Alligator mississippiensis: one gene and its partner. The protein of the gene in region 2 binds, or shares a complex with, the protein of the main gene of each other region. Links are inferred from orthologs where the notes say so. Each region holds a gene or a part of one and is shown on either strand. Other genes may lie near its edges.

Region 1 (8,055 bases), on a different chromosome or scaffold from region 2:
GGGGTAAGATAGAAATGTGACTTCTACAGAGTACTATGACTGTGCATTTGCTTATAATACTTCAGCATACAGCAAAAAAGAAAGGAAGAGAAATTAGGATTTAGATTTGTTTCTGCTTTTGGTAACAAACATGTAAGAGACAGCCTATTAGTACAATTATGTCTCCCTGATGGAGAAAACGCATCAGACAGTTTATAATTTACCTATAAATACTTATCTTCACAGACACATGGTTTTGACTACAGTAAGCAAAGAACTCCATGCCTTTTAGAATGGAGGATATTCCAGAGAGACATGAAAGCTGAGATTCAGCATACCAAACTTTCCAGCTGGAGTCTCCAGAGGTAACATTACTCCATGGTATATTAATATTGCCAATGATGTTAACTGTTCAGAAGACTACATTCTATTATAGTTTGCCAGTTTCATCTCAAGGGAAACCCAGAACTAGAACAGGAGATGATGCTACTACAATCCAATCAGGACCTGCTGCAGAGCTGTGGAATTCATATAATGCCTGGCAGTATTGTTGTTCTGCTCAATATTATTATTGTTGTTCTGCTCAATTTTTAAGATTACTAAGCCCACCGTTTCAAGAACAGAGCATTTAGGCAAACAACTAAAACCAGGATCAGCAGCTTTGTCCAACAGAAATTTGCTATGTCCTTTCAACTGGGAATGTTTCCTTTAAAAAAAAAAACAAAAACAAAAACAAAAAAAAACTGTTGAGACTTCCAATTGCAAGCAGATGGTAATTTTTTTTTTAAATCTGCGCTTCTGAAAGGTGATAGAGAACTTTCATTTGTAGGACTGTCAAGAGCATCAAAAGAAGTTGCAGCATACCTTGCTGTTAACCTGCTGCTAATGTGCAGTTGCACAAATAGCTTACTCTTCATGCCCTATCAATCTTCACACACACTGTGAAAACACACAAGGGCCTATATAAATTCCTGCATCCCATCTCGGGTATAGTTATTCACAAGAAATTAAATGGATTGATGCGACCAAATGGCATCAACCTCCCAATTATCTAAGTATTTCCTATCTGGACCAAGCAAGACACTGCCAAGGTTTCTTTGTTTTACTGAAGAACAGGTCCTGAAGCTGCTTACTGGCTCATTCTGGAAGCAGTGATACTTCTATTTATCATACTCATTTCGTCACGGTACAGCAATTCTCAACCAGAGCGTCAGGACACCCTCAGTGCTCCTCTCTGCCTTGCTGCTGCCCTGCCCATCACTGCCAAGAGGTAAGTACTGTAATACATTAGTTTTTTTAAATGGGGTGCTGCTCAATTCACGAAAGCTATGCCTGAAATCTAACAAGGAGTCCCTTGAATCCAAAACTGTTGAGAACCACAGGTTTAGGAAAATGAGCATGTACTCAACAATCAGAAGACCTGTAACTCCACCATATATAAGCAGAAAGAGGTAGCTCGCTGTTAGTCTGCAGTCACTCAGAACACAGGGTAGAAATGCACCTTTATAGACTAACTCAACAAGATAGATGCACATGCAGCACAAGCTTTTGTGAACCAAAGTTTACTTCATCAGATGCTGTCATTTGAGGAAGTGAACTTTAGTTCACAAAAGCTTTGCTCTCTCTCTCTATAGATCTTGTTTAATTAGTCTGGGGTGCTCAACCTGCAGCCCACAAGCCAAATGTGGCCCGTGGGGCTTGCCAGGGGTTGGAAAATTTGGCAGCGGGGGAACAGTGGCAGTTAATATGGCCACCCTTCCTCACTGCCAAATTCCTAAACCCCAAGCACCATGCAGCAGGTTGGGGCCAGGCCACACTGCTCCTTTCTCCTTGGCTGCTGGATCAGGGTTGGGCCATGTCCCCTCCTCCCTGCAGCAACATCAGGTGCCAAGTACCCTTCTCCCGCTCTGCAGAGCCAGATGGGTTCCCACTGCAACTGCCCCAGGTACCAGATCAGGACCATAGACCATCCACTGCCCATCTGGCCCATCAGCCACAGAGGTTGAGCAGCAGTGAGTTAGTATATTAAAGGTGCTTATCTCCCCTGCCTTCTGTCCAACATCTATCCAACAGCTGCAGCAAGTGACCTTTTCTCCTTTGAGGAAAGGGTCCTTTCCTTTTCCATGTCACATATAACTAAGAAAATTAAGAACGGGAATACCACAGGCCCAGCAACAACATATATTGCAAGCCATGCAGGTCGAGCCTGCTGTCCCAACTTAGAAACAAGAAAAAACACAGAGCAACGTCTCTGCGGGCCATCTGCATCAGCCTGGCTTTATTCAGACATGCATTTAGAGACCTGCCAATGGTGGGATCGACACAGCACTTTTATGCATTGTGGCTGGGAGCAACAAAGCAGCCGTGAGGGCAGGGTGAAGCAAAGCAACCTGGGGGGAGGCTTCCTCTGCTGGGATGCCTGCACTGCCTGCCGGTACTGTCTCCCTCTCTGGCTGCTTTCAAAGGAGGGCAGGGGGTGATGAACGTTTTGAAGTCTTGGTCCAAAACTGCGCTGATCTCACTTGCACTTGGCTTTGCGGCTCTCGGTTTTCTTTAACAGCAGCGCTGCTTGGACAGCAAGCGGGACCCTGCCCTGAGCAATGATGTCTCCCCAGCAGTGACTCTAGGTTGCGGCCGGCCGGCTGGCTGGGGGTGGCGGGGACGATGCACGTTTCTTGTTGCCGCAGGCAGCGCTCCTCGCCGATGCCAGCCGTCAGGCCTCCACTGCTGAGGCCAAACGGCCCGGTGCCCAGCTCCACTCTCCAGAAATGCCCTGGCGAGGTCCACGGGTTGCGCAGGGCCTACGTGGGCCTGGGTTTGGACCTCGCCTCCCGGGCAGCCACAACGACGTGGACAGCAGCCGGGTGCTGCGGGCGCCCCACGCCCGAGGGGATGGGGGGTGACAGCCCGCAGGGAAGCCCCTTTCACCGTGCTTCCCCCGCCCCACCACCGCCTGGGGAAGCCACGCCCACACGTCGCCGAGAAATACGGTAAGGCTGCGGGAGGCGAGAAGCGAGGGGCGCGCGTCTGCCAGAAATAGGTAGGCTGAAGGCCTCGGGGCCCAAGACCCCCCGGGGTACCGCCCGCACCCGCCGCTCACTCACGCTTGTACTCGGCCATGAGCCGCTTCAGCGCCGTGCCCGCCATGACCACCCGCGACCCCGCCGCCGCAGGGGGCCGAGCCGGCCGCCTCAGCGCTTCCGGGTTCAGCCGACCGCCATAGAGAGCGCGCGCGGCGGTAGCTAGCCAGGCCGCCGCGCGAGCCACCCGTCTCTATGGCAGTCCGCCGGACGCGGGGTGGGAGGGGCGGTGGGGTGCTGGCCTGAGGCGCTGTGATGTCAGTGCCTGCGGCCAGGGGCGGGGCCGGTGGGGTTTCCCAGCGGTTTGCAAGAGCCCGGTTGCTGTGGTCTCAAGACACGAGTGGATGCTCAGCACCGGGATTTTCCAAGGGGGCCTAAGAGGTTGAGAAGGGCTGTGACAGACTGGCTCGCTAGGCAGCAGCCTGCCAGGTGCTGCGTGTGGCCCTGCAGACAGTACTACACAGAAAGGAATAGAGCAGGGGTGTCAAAGATCCAGACTGCCCCCGGGACGGACCCGACCTCGTGCGCCTCGTGTGGCATGGGCCAGTCAGTGCTGGCCCGAGGCACGGAGCCGGTCTGATGCTGTGCGTGCAGCGGCTGGAGCTGGACCCGGTGCCACGGGCATTGCAGGAAGCACGGGGTGGGCTGGAGGGAGCACTGTGAGGTGTCCGTACACTGGCTCTAGTGCCTGGGGCCAGTCTGTGGGCCTGATGCAGCTTGCAGAGCAACCCCATGCCCTTCATTCAGCCCATGGGGCCGGAAGAGTTCAACACCCCTGGAATACAGTAATCTATATACAAAGGATAAGGAAAAGGGGAGGAAGAGCATTAAAAAAAAAATTGTAAGTGACCACATCAGTCATTTGCTTTGACCGGATTCTTTGAGCTAGGTTTTAGTCAGGGAGATGCACTTTCTTGTCAGTAACAAACTTTGAGATGACAAAAAAATATATGCCACCTCAAACCTCTCCTCCTGTTGCCCTGATGAAAGATGGCAATTCCACTCAAATCCTTCTTCTGTAAGCCCTGCCCATGTGGTGGTATCCAGCTAATGCCAGCCTCAGGTGATGGCAGTAAAGATAGCTAAGGCCTGGTCTGCTGGAAAAACTTCAAGAGCATCTAAATTCAACCCTGCTTTTCCACTTCTCTGAGCTTTACTGCAGCCCACCTTCAATGGAAGGCATAGGTAGACAGGGCCATGACTTCTGACTGCCACAGTCCCTTCAGCTGCTGGTGCCTTCCTGCGGGCCACTTTATGCTGTAGCAGCACAGCATGCGCATGGGAACCACGTGAATGTTTTCTCGGCAGTGTTGCAAGCAGACAGTATTTGGCAGCAGCAACACGTACATGCAGACGAGGCCTAAGCCAAAGGAGGCATGCATTTCCCTGCTTACATTTGGTTCCAGTTCGTTTTGGTGTATGTGCACTTAACTGGGGAGGGGAGAGAGGTGGTTATTCATGGGCTGGGGAGGGCAGAAGTATGAAAGGAGCATACAAGTGAAGCAGCTGCAGTAAGAACGTACGTGGATGGACCACAATGAGAATGCAGGGAAGAGCCTACAGCCAAGAGAAAAGCTGGACTGATTCTCTTTCCCAAAAGCCCTCTGTACTGAGGCTCAGCATGGAGCTCATCACTTTCACAACTTGTTTGCTCCTAGTTCTGAATAACAGACATGGTGTGAGGGAGCCCAAAGCACAGGGGTCTGTGCAAGGCAAGTGTCACAAGGCAGGTGGGTAAAGTTAAGGTGTCAGACACTGGAAGGGAGTCACGCTGTTAGAGGGGACTGGGATACCACCTGAGCCTGGCAGGGGAGCCATGTCCATGGCCACAAGGTCATAGTTACAGCTGGTGGCTCTGTGCACCACAGCAGAATTCAACCCCAGATCCTGACAAACTACCAAGAAGGGGACACTTAAGAGCCAATCAAGAGAAAAGCCACAGAATCTCCAGTTACATGGAAGCAGTGTCTCAAATTACAGTACTTCCACATCTTATCCACAGGTGAGGCAGGGGAGGTATTTTACTTTTGGCAACTGTAGCAACACTAATTTTTGCACCTTTTAGGCCTGGAACATTCAGGGGTGACAACAGCAGTTTGCTGTGAGGCACTGAGGTGTGAAGGTGTATCACTTGGCAAACTTGTATCACTTTTATTTGCTCTGCAATTCTAGGTTTTGCTCCTGCAGTTTCTTCACAACTGAGACCCCCTTTTTTTACTCCTTTGCTGATGCAGTTTTGAGTACTGATAAACCGAGAGAAGTTTCACAGCCTTTTTTTAACAGTATTTCTAACAGTAGCTCACATTTCCAAAGCATCTTCCACCCAAAGGATTCCAAACTGCTTAGGCAGACACTAATTGCAATGATAGGTTGCAGCAGCAGCAGTCAAAATGGCCGAAAATACTCAGGAACAAAACAGCTCACACCATGAGGCATCTGTCTGGGATGGTTTGGAGCCAGCAAATCCTGCATCTGTGTAAGGGCAAACCTGTGATTCCATGCATGAGCAGATGTAGTATCCCATTTATTTACAGGACTGATAAAATACTCTAATCCAGTGGGGGTCAATCTTTTTGGCAGGTCCACCACAAACTAGGCCCACACCCTTCCTGAGTGTCCCCCCCCACTTCCTGCTTTCTGCTCACTGCATGATTTGCTGCTTCGCTTTCTACTTCCTGGCCTGTGCTCTTTGCCCCATCTGCTGCTCTGTTTTCTGCTCCCTGCCCTATCTGCCACTGTGCTGCTTGTCTCTTCCTAAGTCTGCCATGTGGCACGCACAAAAGCTGCCTGTGCCTCTTTAGAGCAGGGGTGGCCAAACTGTGCCATATCTGCTTTCCTTGAAATACAGCACCCAGAATTTCACTCTAGTACTTGTTTCCAGCTCAGCAACCAGCAGTTGAATTAGTCATAAAGGAGTTGAGTGCTGTAGAATCCATGCCCACCTTTGGTTACTTGCATCAATGGCTAACCAATTTTGAAAAACATGGGTTTTCTAACTTAATCTAGCTTCTGCTTTCAGTCTGACTTGCTTTGGGTGCAGACATAGCAACTGAAACGTGTTTGGAAATGTTTCACAAACGAAACATTTAAGCCTGTGCAGTTCCCAACAGGAATGTTTCAAAACACTGCAGCGGCCTATTGCTTACCTCTACTCTTGGCTCCCCCACTCCTCAAAGGAAAACAGGTAGAGGACAGAGATGAGCTGAAGAGAAGTAAGTGGGGGCTTCCTGGTCCCATCAAAGAAAGTCTCACTTAGCTGTAGGTACCCTTCAGCTCTCCCTTCCCCCCCTCAGCAGAGTAGGTGTAGAGGGGACTGGGGCCAGAGTCCAGCTCTGGGCAACACCTCCCTCCCCAAGTCGGGGTGAGCGTGCCTGGCTCTGGGAGAGATGGGGGTCCCAACAGAGACCCAGCACAACCCTGACCTGGAGTAGGGCTAGTGGATAGCTGGCTGGCAGAATGACTACCCATTCTCCCTCCCTTCTCTATGAAACCAGAACCAAAAAATGAAATGCTCCAAAACAGTACCTTATATAAAGAGCTACTTTTGAAGCTTTTCAGCCACTTTTGGATCTGGTCATTTGAAATATTTCAGAGGTATTTGAAATGTTTTATGTCTGTCCACGCCTTTCCTGTCCTTGCTTTTTGATTGAGAAAATTTCCCCCCCCCTCTAGTTCCTTTGTAGTGTGTGAAGCTGATGGTTAGCCAAAAACAGCCTAAGATCTCACTAAAAACTTTCAGTGATTTTTTTTTGGTTACTGTACACATGCAGACAGAAGCTTCAGAGATGTAATCTAGTTTGTGGATTTAAGACAGGAGCACAGGTGGGTGGAACCTTAACCATAGTCAATAAGCCTGAAAAAAAGCATTGGAGATGGGGATGGAAAGGAAACCTAACTATCCCAGCAGTGAGCAGTATTTTCTCAGGGAAGAGGAAAAAACAAGCTCCCTCTTCTCATTACCATGTTTTGTATTCTCCTGCAGCTCTCAACGGTGGAAGCTGCAGGGTAAATTCCCTGCTTCGGCCATATGATGAAGGAAGCTAGGTGAGCTGGATTCTAGCCTGCCCATCCAGTGGGGAGCACTTTGGGGTGCTTAATGTGGGCAGGTTTTCCTGTAAATAGTACTTGTAAATAATTCTCTGTGTAGGAGGTCTAGATGCCCCTGTTTCACCTCAGGGGCAGATGGCAGTCTAGGCCTGACAACAGGCCAGAGATTGCTCTTTCACCAGTTACTCGTAGCATGTTTCACTGTACTGGGTGAGTTGTTGTCCCCAGGTTAAGACTATAGTTTTGTTACAGTTTGGTTGCAAATTTGGCTGACTGGGCTTGAGGAGAATGAGAGAAGCTCCAAGAGAGCTGGGGAACAGCAGAAGGTGCCAGTGTGGACAGAAAGTCCCAAGGAAGACAAAGTAAAGTCTGAATGAGGACAGAGGGAACTGGAATGACACAATAAAGACTGGTTGTTTTGAAGCAGCCTGCTGTGCTGCTTGAGACATCATCACTCTGATAACTGTCTTCTAAAGAAGAAAATACCACCCCCCACTCCTTCCCCAGGAGCTGATTGAAAAGGAGCTCCCATGAGGGTGCTACAGATCACTGGGGAAGCCAGGGACTAAAAAGAGCCACAGCCAGAGGCTGCCCCTCCTGCAGCCATGCTGGGGCTGGCTGCAGGGCATCTTCTGAAGAAAGGGAAACCAAATAAGGGTGCTTCTTAGGGAAGTCTAGAGGGAGAGCTTTCCCCTTCCTCTCCAAAAGGGGCAGGGTGAGCCTTTCCTTCCTTTTCTGTGACAAGCCAACTAAGAGGCCAACCAGTTCAGAGTGAAGGAGGAGAAAAGAGAAACCACTGCAGGGCAGGCCCATTTTAAGCATATTAAAGACTATTTTTTCTTCTAAAGAGCCAAATGCCCACCACCCTTAGCACTATAAGCTCTTTTTCTGAAGATATATGGCACAATGAAGTGAGGCATATGAAGCACTGAGCAGAAAACACAAAAGC
Region 2 (7,436 bases):
CAACTAACAAAATGCTGATCCTTAGATAAACAGAGGTTGTAATGATGTAATCTGCTATTTCTGTAAGAGCCTAATCCAGAGCTAAATTTCTAAATTATATGTGCTTGCTCAAAAGATGCTAAAAACAAAGGCATCTGAAAACTGAGATAGATGCACACTACCTTCACCAGAATGTTAAGTTCACTAGTACCTGCATAACAATCTCTGAGCGCAGAGTAAACCTTGTTTTTTAAGAGCTGAACTCTAGTTTGTTCATATGCGACCCTGGAATGTTTTGTTGGCTAGCGATTTCCTGGTGGGCGCACAACTCATCTTGGCTTTTCTGTTATCTGAGAGGTTATTAAGGTTTGAGAAGAACCAGTTCTACAAGATTGCACCCTTCAGTATCCTGACTGAGCATAGTGCCTGACTGGTATAGACAATATTTGCTGGTTGTTGTGAAAAATGTCTTTGCTTTTTATTGGATGTATGTTTGTCAAGAGTAGGAATCGTGCATTGCATGCTCATTTTAACACCTCTTTAAATATCACCAATAAAAATAAATCTTAAATGGCACAATTGTATCTTCTTTTCTATTTTAGGTTCAATTTTATTTACAACTGAATTCCATTCTATCTGAAGAGTGTGGTAGAAGAAGCCGTCTCTGTGAGCACAGCTTTAAGATGTAGAGGAAAGAATACATGTGATGCAAGGATTTTTTTTATGTCTCTCTCTCTTTTCTTTCCCCCCCTGCTCTCCTCCCCTTTTTGCCCTCTCCCCTACCCACCTTTAATGTCACAACATTTTCTATTGTAAGAACAGAAGTGAATCTCGACTGTTTAGATAGTGGGATGGCAAATGTAATTCAGTGTTTTAATCCATTTTCATTGTAATATTCACCTGACTTTTTTTTTCTACAACATTAAACAAAAATGGATACGTCTCATTTGTTTAAGATGTCTTCCTGAAGGTGGGTGGGAGACTTAAATCTCTTGCTTTCTTGGCACAGGTTGAGAACAAGGGTAAATCTGGTTCTGCCAACCAATAAATCCCCACAAATGTTGGAGGGAGGGATGATCTTTCATGTTAACTATGCATTGCATCTTGCAGAGAGTCTGACAACTAAGGCTAGAATTCTGGATTGAGGTCTGAATGACTTAAAAACAATAACCCAGCAATTCATTTGTTTTGTAAGCGCAAATACTGAGTGGCAATGTGGACCAATGCAGAAAGCATTATCAATAAACTGGTGGAGTGACTGGACTGCTCATTACCAGGGATCTGGGTTTTCCGTTACCCGTGGAAAAATGGAGAAAAACGTGGATTTTTCTCCTTTACTCAAGAAAACTGTGGATTTCTCATTTTAAAGGAGAAACATGTAGATTTTGCACTTTTGCAAAGAGCTTTTTGCAGGCTGGCAGAGTTCCAGCCTGCAAGGGGCTGGGGTGGGGAGCAGGAGGAGGATGGTCAGGCAGGGGCCTCCATGTGCATGTATATGCACATGCCTGCCAGGCAGCCAGGACAGCAGCTCCTGCAGGTAAGTTTGGGTGGGGAGAGAGGGATTGAGGCCCCCATAGGGAGGGGGGCAGTGAGTTGGACAGGGCTGGGGCTGCTGCCTAGCCAGGTGGTATGTGGGGCCTGGGGCTGGAATGTGTGGCTGCAGGGCCTCAGCAGAGAGTGTGACCTGGGCTACAGGTGGCTCCTCCAGGGGGTGGGGGCGGTGGGGCTGGCTCCTTGCTGCTGCTTGTACTCCCAGGTTGGGCCTGTGTCCTGCTGATCTGTGCATATGGCAGGGGCGGGCTGCCTGCTGTGGGCTTTGGCTCCCCACTCTGCTGCCCTCCTCCTGGGGTTTCTGCAGCCCAGCAGGTGGGACCCAGTGGCAGGGCAGACTGGGGAAGCTCCTTGCTGCTGTGAGCCCCGGGTTCTGGTGAGGCATCCCCTGCCCGTTCAGCAGCAACAGGGACAGCAGCATGGGGTTGTAACCCCTCGCTGCTGCGGGGCGGTCAGAGGGCATGTCGCCAGGGCAGCATGGTGCTCACAGCGTGAAGGAGCTTCCCCATCCGGCCCTGCTTTGCCCTGCCATGCTGGGTCCCACCCCCTGGGCTGCAGAGGCCCCAGGGGAGGCAGCAGGGTGGGGATCTGAGCCTGTAGCAGGCAGCCTGCACCTGCCCCCTCATGGGCTCTGCTCCAGCCCCACTGCCTGCTGTGGGGAGGGGGAGCCAGGCTCTGCTATGCTGCGGCAGCTGGGGCTCAGGCACTGCTGTGGGGGATAGAGGGCTGTGGACCCAGGTCCCTTGGTCTAGCCCAGGCAGCTGGGGGCTCCCTCCAGCAGGGCTGGGGGGGCAGGAAGCTGTGGGGAGGAGTGATGGGCACCAGCAGGGCCCAGGTGACAGGGAGTGGGGCAGGGAGTGAGAGACACTGGCAAGGGGGCTGTGGGTGGGGAGTGAGGCCTGGACCTGTGTTCTGTGAGTTAAGGGGACAGGGGGAGCTCTGATTTTTTTCCATAATAAAAGATCCCAAATCGAATTCTAAATACCTATAAATTTTTGTATTTATCTTATTATAGTGATTGAAACATTGGTAGGCTTCCAATTTGCTTTAAAATTGTAAATATATCAATTAAACATTGTGTTCATCAGAGAATTTGTGACTTTTTTTTTTTTCTTTTTTTTAATTGGAAAACCAGGATCTGGGCTCATTACAGATCTCTGTAGATGTTGACCCAAAACTTTTAATACAAATGTCTTATATTAAATAATTTCTGCAGTCCAGGTATAATACAGAAATGCTCTAAAAAGCCCTAAAGAAGACTCTTTGATCTAGGAGGCCATGGCTATAGAACTGAATCTGGGTTAAGCCAGTACATTTAAGAAGTGTGCACACTTGTTACCTGGGACCCATTGCCTTATTGTACAGAACTCCTTTAGTTGTTTATTTGTTCTCTCACAATGGAGCATTCAGATTTGGAGATGTTTCCTCAACACATCTCCATCTATTGCAAGTATTAAACACATTAGAACTAGGGTTTGTTTTTTTTGTAGGGGTGCACTGATAAAGGATTTTCTTGGCTGATACTGATAGCCCACTAACCGGCCATATTGGCCGATACTGATTGGGGTGTCAAACTCATCTGGCCTCAGGCTGGATCAGGGTTGCTGGGCTGGTCTGCAGGCTGGATCAGGCCATGCTGGACCCAGTGGGCAGGGCCAGTCTGGTGGGATGCTGTACACAGTGTGCAGCTGGTCCAGCCCCATGGGCAGCATATGCTGGCTCCACTCTGGGGCTTCCTCTGCATGTGGCGCCTGGGGCTGGCACTGGGGATGCGCTGTATGGGGTGCTCTGTTGGATTAGCTCTGCATGCTGGTTCTGGGGCTGGCCCGGATGTCTGTGCACACGCACACTGGAATGATTTAGGGCTAGTCTGGAACCTGCCCATTCAGCATGCATTGTCGAGGGTGTGCAAAGTGCGCTCTGAAATGGGGCCAGCGTGTGCTGCACGTGGCATGTGGGGATAGACCAGCTGCACACATTGCATGTAGTACAGGAGCCTGGCATGGTGCACGTGCTGCAAGCAGTGTCCTGCTGGCCAAGCTCTGGTGTGGCTCCATGATTATTTCTTATGGGTAATCAGACATCACAATATGAAGTGCTGAAAAGTATACGGCAAATATTAAAAAAGCAAGAAATAAATGTATAGTACTGTTACATTTTAAAATTGCCAAGTACTAGTAAGTAAGGACAAAACCCAAGTGTGGGCTAATGGTTTTGTTAATATAAAACTTGGTTAACTGACTTGCTGGGTAACTTACTGTGCATGAGTCTGACAGCAACTCAGGGTGTAGGATACTGTTTTTTCCTGAAATGCAGTTGGCTCCTGCTGCTTTCAGAGGTCTCCTTACTGTCGGTAGAAATGGCCCCAAATACCCAGAGTATCCTAGACCTGAGTTCCTATTCCCACAAGCCCCCTCCCCAGCCCTTCTTGAAGCCACTTCATGCTTTTGACCTATAACAATATCCAAGTTGTCCGGGGACGGCTGTTGCCTCCCCTCCATCGTATAATCCTCTCCGAGGCTCAGACGAGCCGCCGGATTGCTGTGAGACTAAGGGAAGAGCTTTGTGAGAGCTGCCGAGCAGGCGCTTTCCCGGGCAGCGCCGAGTTACAGGAGGCGAGGTGGAGGGAGGCTTAGGGAAAAAAGTTTTTACAGCGGCAGGGTCTGGTCCTCGCTGGGCCGGGCAGCCCGGAGCCAGCTGAAAGGCCCGGCTCGCAGAGGGAGATCTCCCGGAGATCAGCCGGGCTCGGCCTTGGCCTCCCAATGTCCGCTCTGTCTGCGCCGGCCTCAGCCGCTTCGCCGCCCAGCCCAGCTCCGCCCCTCGGGCCGATGGCCCCGCCCCCCGGCCGCGGCGGCGCTCGGGAGCGGGGACCGCGCAGGCCGCTGGGAGGTGGCGGGGCCTAGCTGGGCTCAGACGCGATCGCTATGCCGCTGTTGTTCCTGGAGCGTTTCCCCTGGCCCAGCCTGCGCACGTACGCGGGGCTCAGCGCCCTGGCGCTGCTCGGCTGCGTCCTCAGCGCCTACCGCGCCCTCAGCCAGGCCCCTGCCGCCTGGCCTGGGCCCGAGCCCCAGCCCCAACCTGAGCCACAGCCCAGCCCGAGCCGTGCCGGGCCGCTGCCGCTGGACGTCGCCTACTATCTGCTGTCAGACAGCCTTTGCGTCTGGGTGAGCACGGACACCGGCGGCTGCACAGGCCCCTGGGCCCGGGGGGCTTCTGTCTGGGCAAGAGGGGCGGAGGCTGGGGCCGGCCGCTTCAGCAGGGGGCGCAGGGCTGGGCTGGGCCTTTGCTGCTCGTGTGGGAGCCGGGAGCAGGGCTGCCCCGTTCCCACCAGCGCGGGCAGGTTTGCCTCAGGCCTGCACAGGCCCTGGGAGACCTCAGCCCTGCTGCCCTTGCAGGCCTGCGTGAAGGCTGCCCAGACTGGCCACAGGGTTGTTCCCTGCTTTCAGGGAGCCAGGGGGTGCCTCTGCCTGCAGGGACTTTGTGTGTTGTGAGGATTACTTTGCACCTGTGGCTGGTCTGAATTTATTGCGCGGTTCACCAATGGATTCATGGCATATGTAAGGCAGGGGGTCCCTGCCAAGCATTGCATCAATCATGCAATTCATTGGTTAAATTGCACAATCATTGCAGATTGATCTCACTTGTAAAGTAATTCTCACACCATACAAATGTTCCCCCACCTAGAAAGACCCCACCAGCTCCCAAGGGAGTGCTTGAAAATGTGTAACCCTACAGTTGGTTTCTGTCCAGTTTTCATAAGAAGGTGCGGCAAGGCCTTGAAGGCAGCTTGGTACCTACCTGTGGGGGGGTTCAGAGGAATGTTTGAGGCCTTTGCTTTTCAGAAATAGGTTCTTGTATAGGTATGGGCTGAGCATCTCCTAGGACATCCCCAAAACACGACTAGGGTGGAGCTGGGGATAAGCAATTTGTTCTAAATGAATGTTCAGATTGGGGTCTGTATCACAGGGTCACAGATGACCAGTCCTCAAACATTTCAAGTGATATTTGTAGTAAAGTAATACAAGTTCTTCTATGGGTGATCCAATGTACACAGTTTTTACTGTCTAGGAAACCGTTCTGGTGGAGGGAAGGAACAATGTTGGCAACTTGTGAAAGGCAGGGGTGACTCCTTTGTGGTCTCTGGGGTTGGTGGGGTGAGGCACTTTAATTAGAGTGGCTCTCGGGAGCTGCTCTAATAAAAATACTTCCAATGTCTCGTGTATTCAGTGTCCCGTGCTTCAACGTGGCAGCGAGGATGCTTTAACTAAAACACGTTTGACAAGCTTTAGTTAAAGCACTGCTGTTTTGAAATGCAGAGACCCTGAATACACATGACACTTAGGCTGCTGGGGTGTTCTAATTGGAGCACTCCAGCAGACTTGGTGTCACATATATGCAGCTTCCCTGTGTTTCAAAATGGCAATGGGGCACTTTAACTAAAGCTCAAGTGAGCAGAATCAATTTGATAATCAAGTCTGCTACAATGCATTCTAATTAGAGCATGTTGGAGCAGGCTTTGGGCATGTGTGTAGGTGCCCTCAGGGAAAGGAAAGTAAAAGGCAAGGGAAAGGATAAGGATCCTCTGACAGGGCAAGACTTACGTTGCATTAGTATAAATGAACCAGATTTAGAAAAAACAACCCCAAAATGGTCATTTTCCTTGAGTCCACTAAAATAGTAATATTTGAACTGGCTTCCGTATTTAATGTTCATTTGTACTAGAGACTCAAATGTAGTGTACCTTTGTAATTAGCTTGTTAAATTGTCTTCCTCTTAGGTGACATAATTTTAGAATGTCATTATTTAAAATAATAGGGATTCTGTGAACTCAAAACATAATGGTCATGGTGCCTGTAACACTTTGGGATTAGGCAGAAGGCTACTCAGAATATTAAACATGCTACTCTGTAGGAAGTATTTGTAAGTGAGTCCTGTGTTTGAAACCACATTGTAAAAGTTGTGAAAACAAGGTCTTACAAAATCTAACACCAATAGAAATGTTTACACAAATAGTGCAAGTGATCAATTATAACCCTTGTAGTATTTCTTTGTAAAAATGTCATGACATGCAATTCCTGTGTGTTTAATGTGCTGGGGTTTTGTTCTATAGTTGCCTAAATAATTTTTTTTTTAAAGTAAATCCTCTGTTGTGTTTCACATCAAAACATGCAATCTTATTACCTGCAAGTGGAAATAACAGTTATTGGGTGAAACTTACTTTATTTATTTTAATGATCTCATGAAATGCAAACTCAACAAAGAACGTGATACTTCAATTAGATTATTTTTTTTTCATGTTTGATAATGTAATATAAATATAATAATAGAATATAAAAACCCAGGGTATGTTTATTTACAATATATGATTTTTAAGTTCGTTATGGATAATTTTACCAAAGTACCCAAGGGGCTGAGCCTCCTGAGTCCGATTTTTGAAATGGGGCTTCATCTGTTTAAGAGTCCTTCAAAAATTTACAATGTCCCTTGAAAGTGCATTTTGCTGGAATATAATCTCTTGTCACATTTTTCCTCATGTATTTTGATGTGCATAATTCAAAAGGTTTTGCTCATCAAAAGTATGAGATAAGTTTAAACAATTCAGCATTTTCTGTTTTTGATGGCTTTAGTTTAAAATGACTGCCAAGAGCTGTAATCCAAGAGAGAATTGATGCAGTTGCAGAAAGTATATAACTTATTGATTAGATTTTGAGACCTGATATGAATGATGTCCTTGTAATATGTTGAAACTGGAATTTTCTAACTTTGTATTAAGCAATCTAACAGTGAAGGTAGACTGCAAGAACTAAGAAACCTTAGCAGCGGGAAACGTAGAGATTAATTCTGTAGTTACTTTAAGAAATAACAAACCTGTAGTGAGGTGAATGTGTTTTGGCTTTGGACATACA

The links. The genes of interacting proteins can lie anywhere in the genome.
Region 1: the proteins of AMFR (region 2) and UBE2G2 are in contact, whole or in part, in an NMR structure (PDB 2LXP), measured with the Homo sapiens proteins. The link is inferred for Alligator mississippiensis from reciprocal best matches to the Homo sapiens genes AMFR and UBE2G2. Residues at the interface, in NP_001135.3 of Homo sapiens: Ser574, Ala575, Arg578, Gln579, Met581, Leu582, Arg585, Lys586, Leu589, Leu590, Ala593, Arg594, Arg596, Phe597, Leu598, Lys600; in NP_003334.2 of Homo sapiens: Tyr13, Leu16, Thr17, Pro20, Gly23, Ile24, Val25, Ala26, Gly27, Pro28, Met29, Asn30, Glu31, Glu38, Leu40, Met42, Glu45, Glu50, Phe51, Val53, Val159, Gln160, Leu163, Gly164, Leu165.

The regions. Positions count from the first base shown.
Region 1 is NC_081830.1:33,419,817-33,427,871, forward strand, and holds the start of UBE2G2 (ubiquitin-conjugating enzyme E2 G2), read right to left. Parts: upstream 3,203-8,055; 5' UTR 3,127-3,202; coding exon 3,084-3,126; intron 1-3,083. UniProt on the Homo sapiens protein: Accepts ubiquitin from the E1 complex and catalyzes its covalent attachment to other proteins. In vitro catalyzes 'Lys-48'-linked polyubiquitination. Involved in endoplasmic reticulum-associated degradation (ERAD).
Region 2 is NC_081833.1:41,615,793-41,623,228, forward strand, and holds the start of AMFR (E3 ubiquitin-protein ligase AMFR), read left to right. Parts: upstream 1-4,385; 5' UTR 4,386-4,454; coding exon 4,455-4,694; intron 4,695-7,436. Other genes in the region: NUDT21 (cleavage and polyadenylation specificity factor subunit 5), read left to right, coding at 582-603. UniProt on the Homo sapiens protein: E3 ubiquitin-protein ligase that mediates the polyubiquitination of lysine and cysteine residues on target proteins, such as CD3D, CYP3A4, CFTR, INSIG1, SOAT2/ACAT2 and APOB for proteasomal degradation.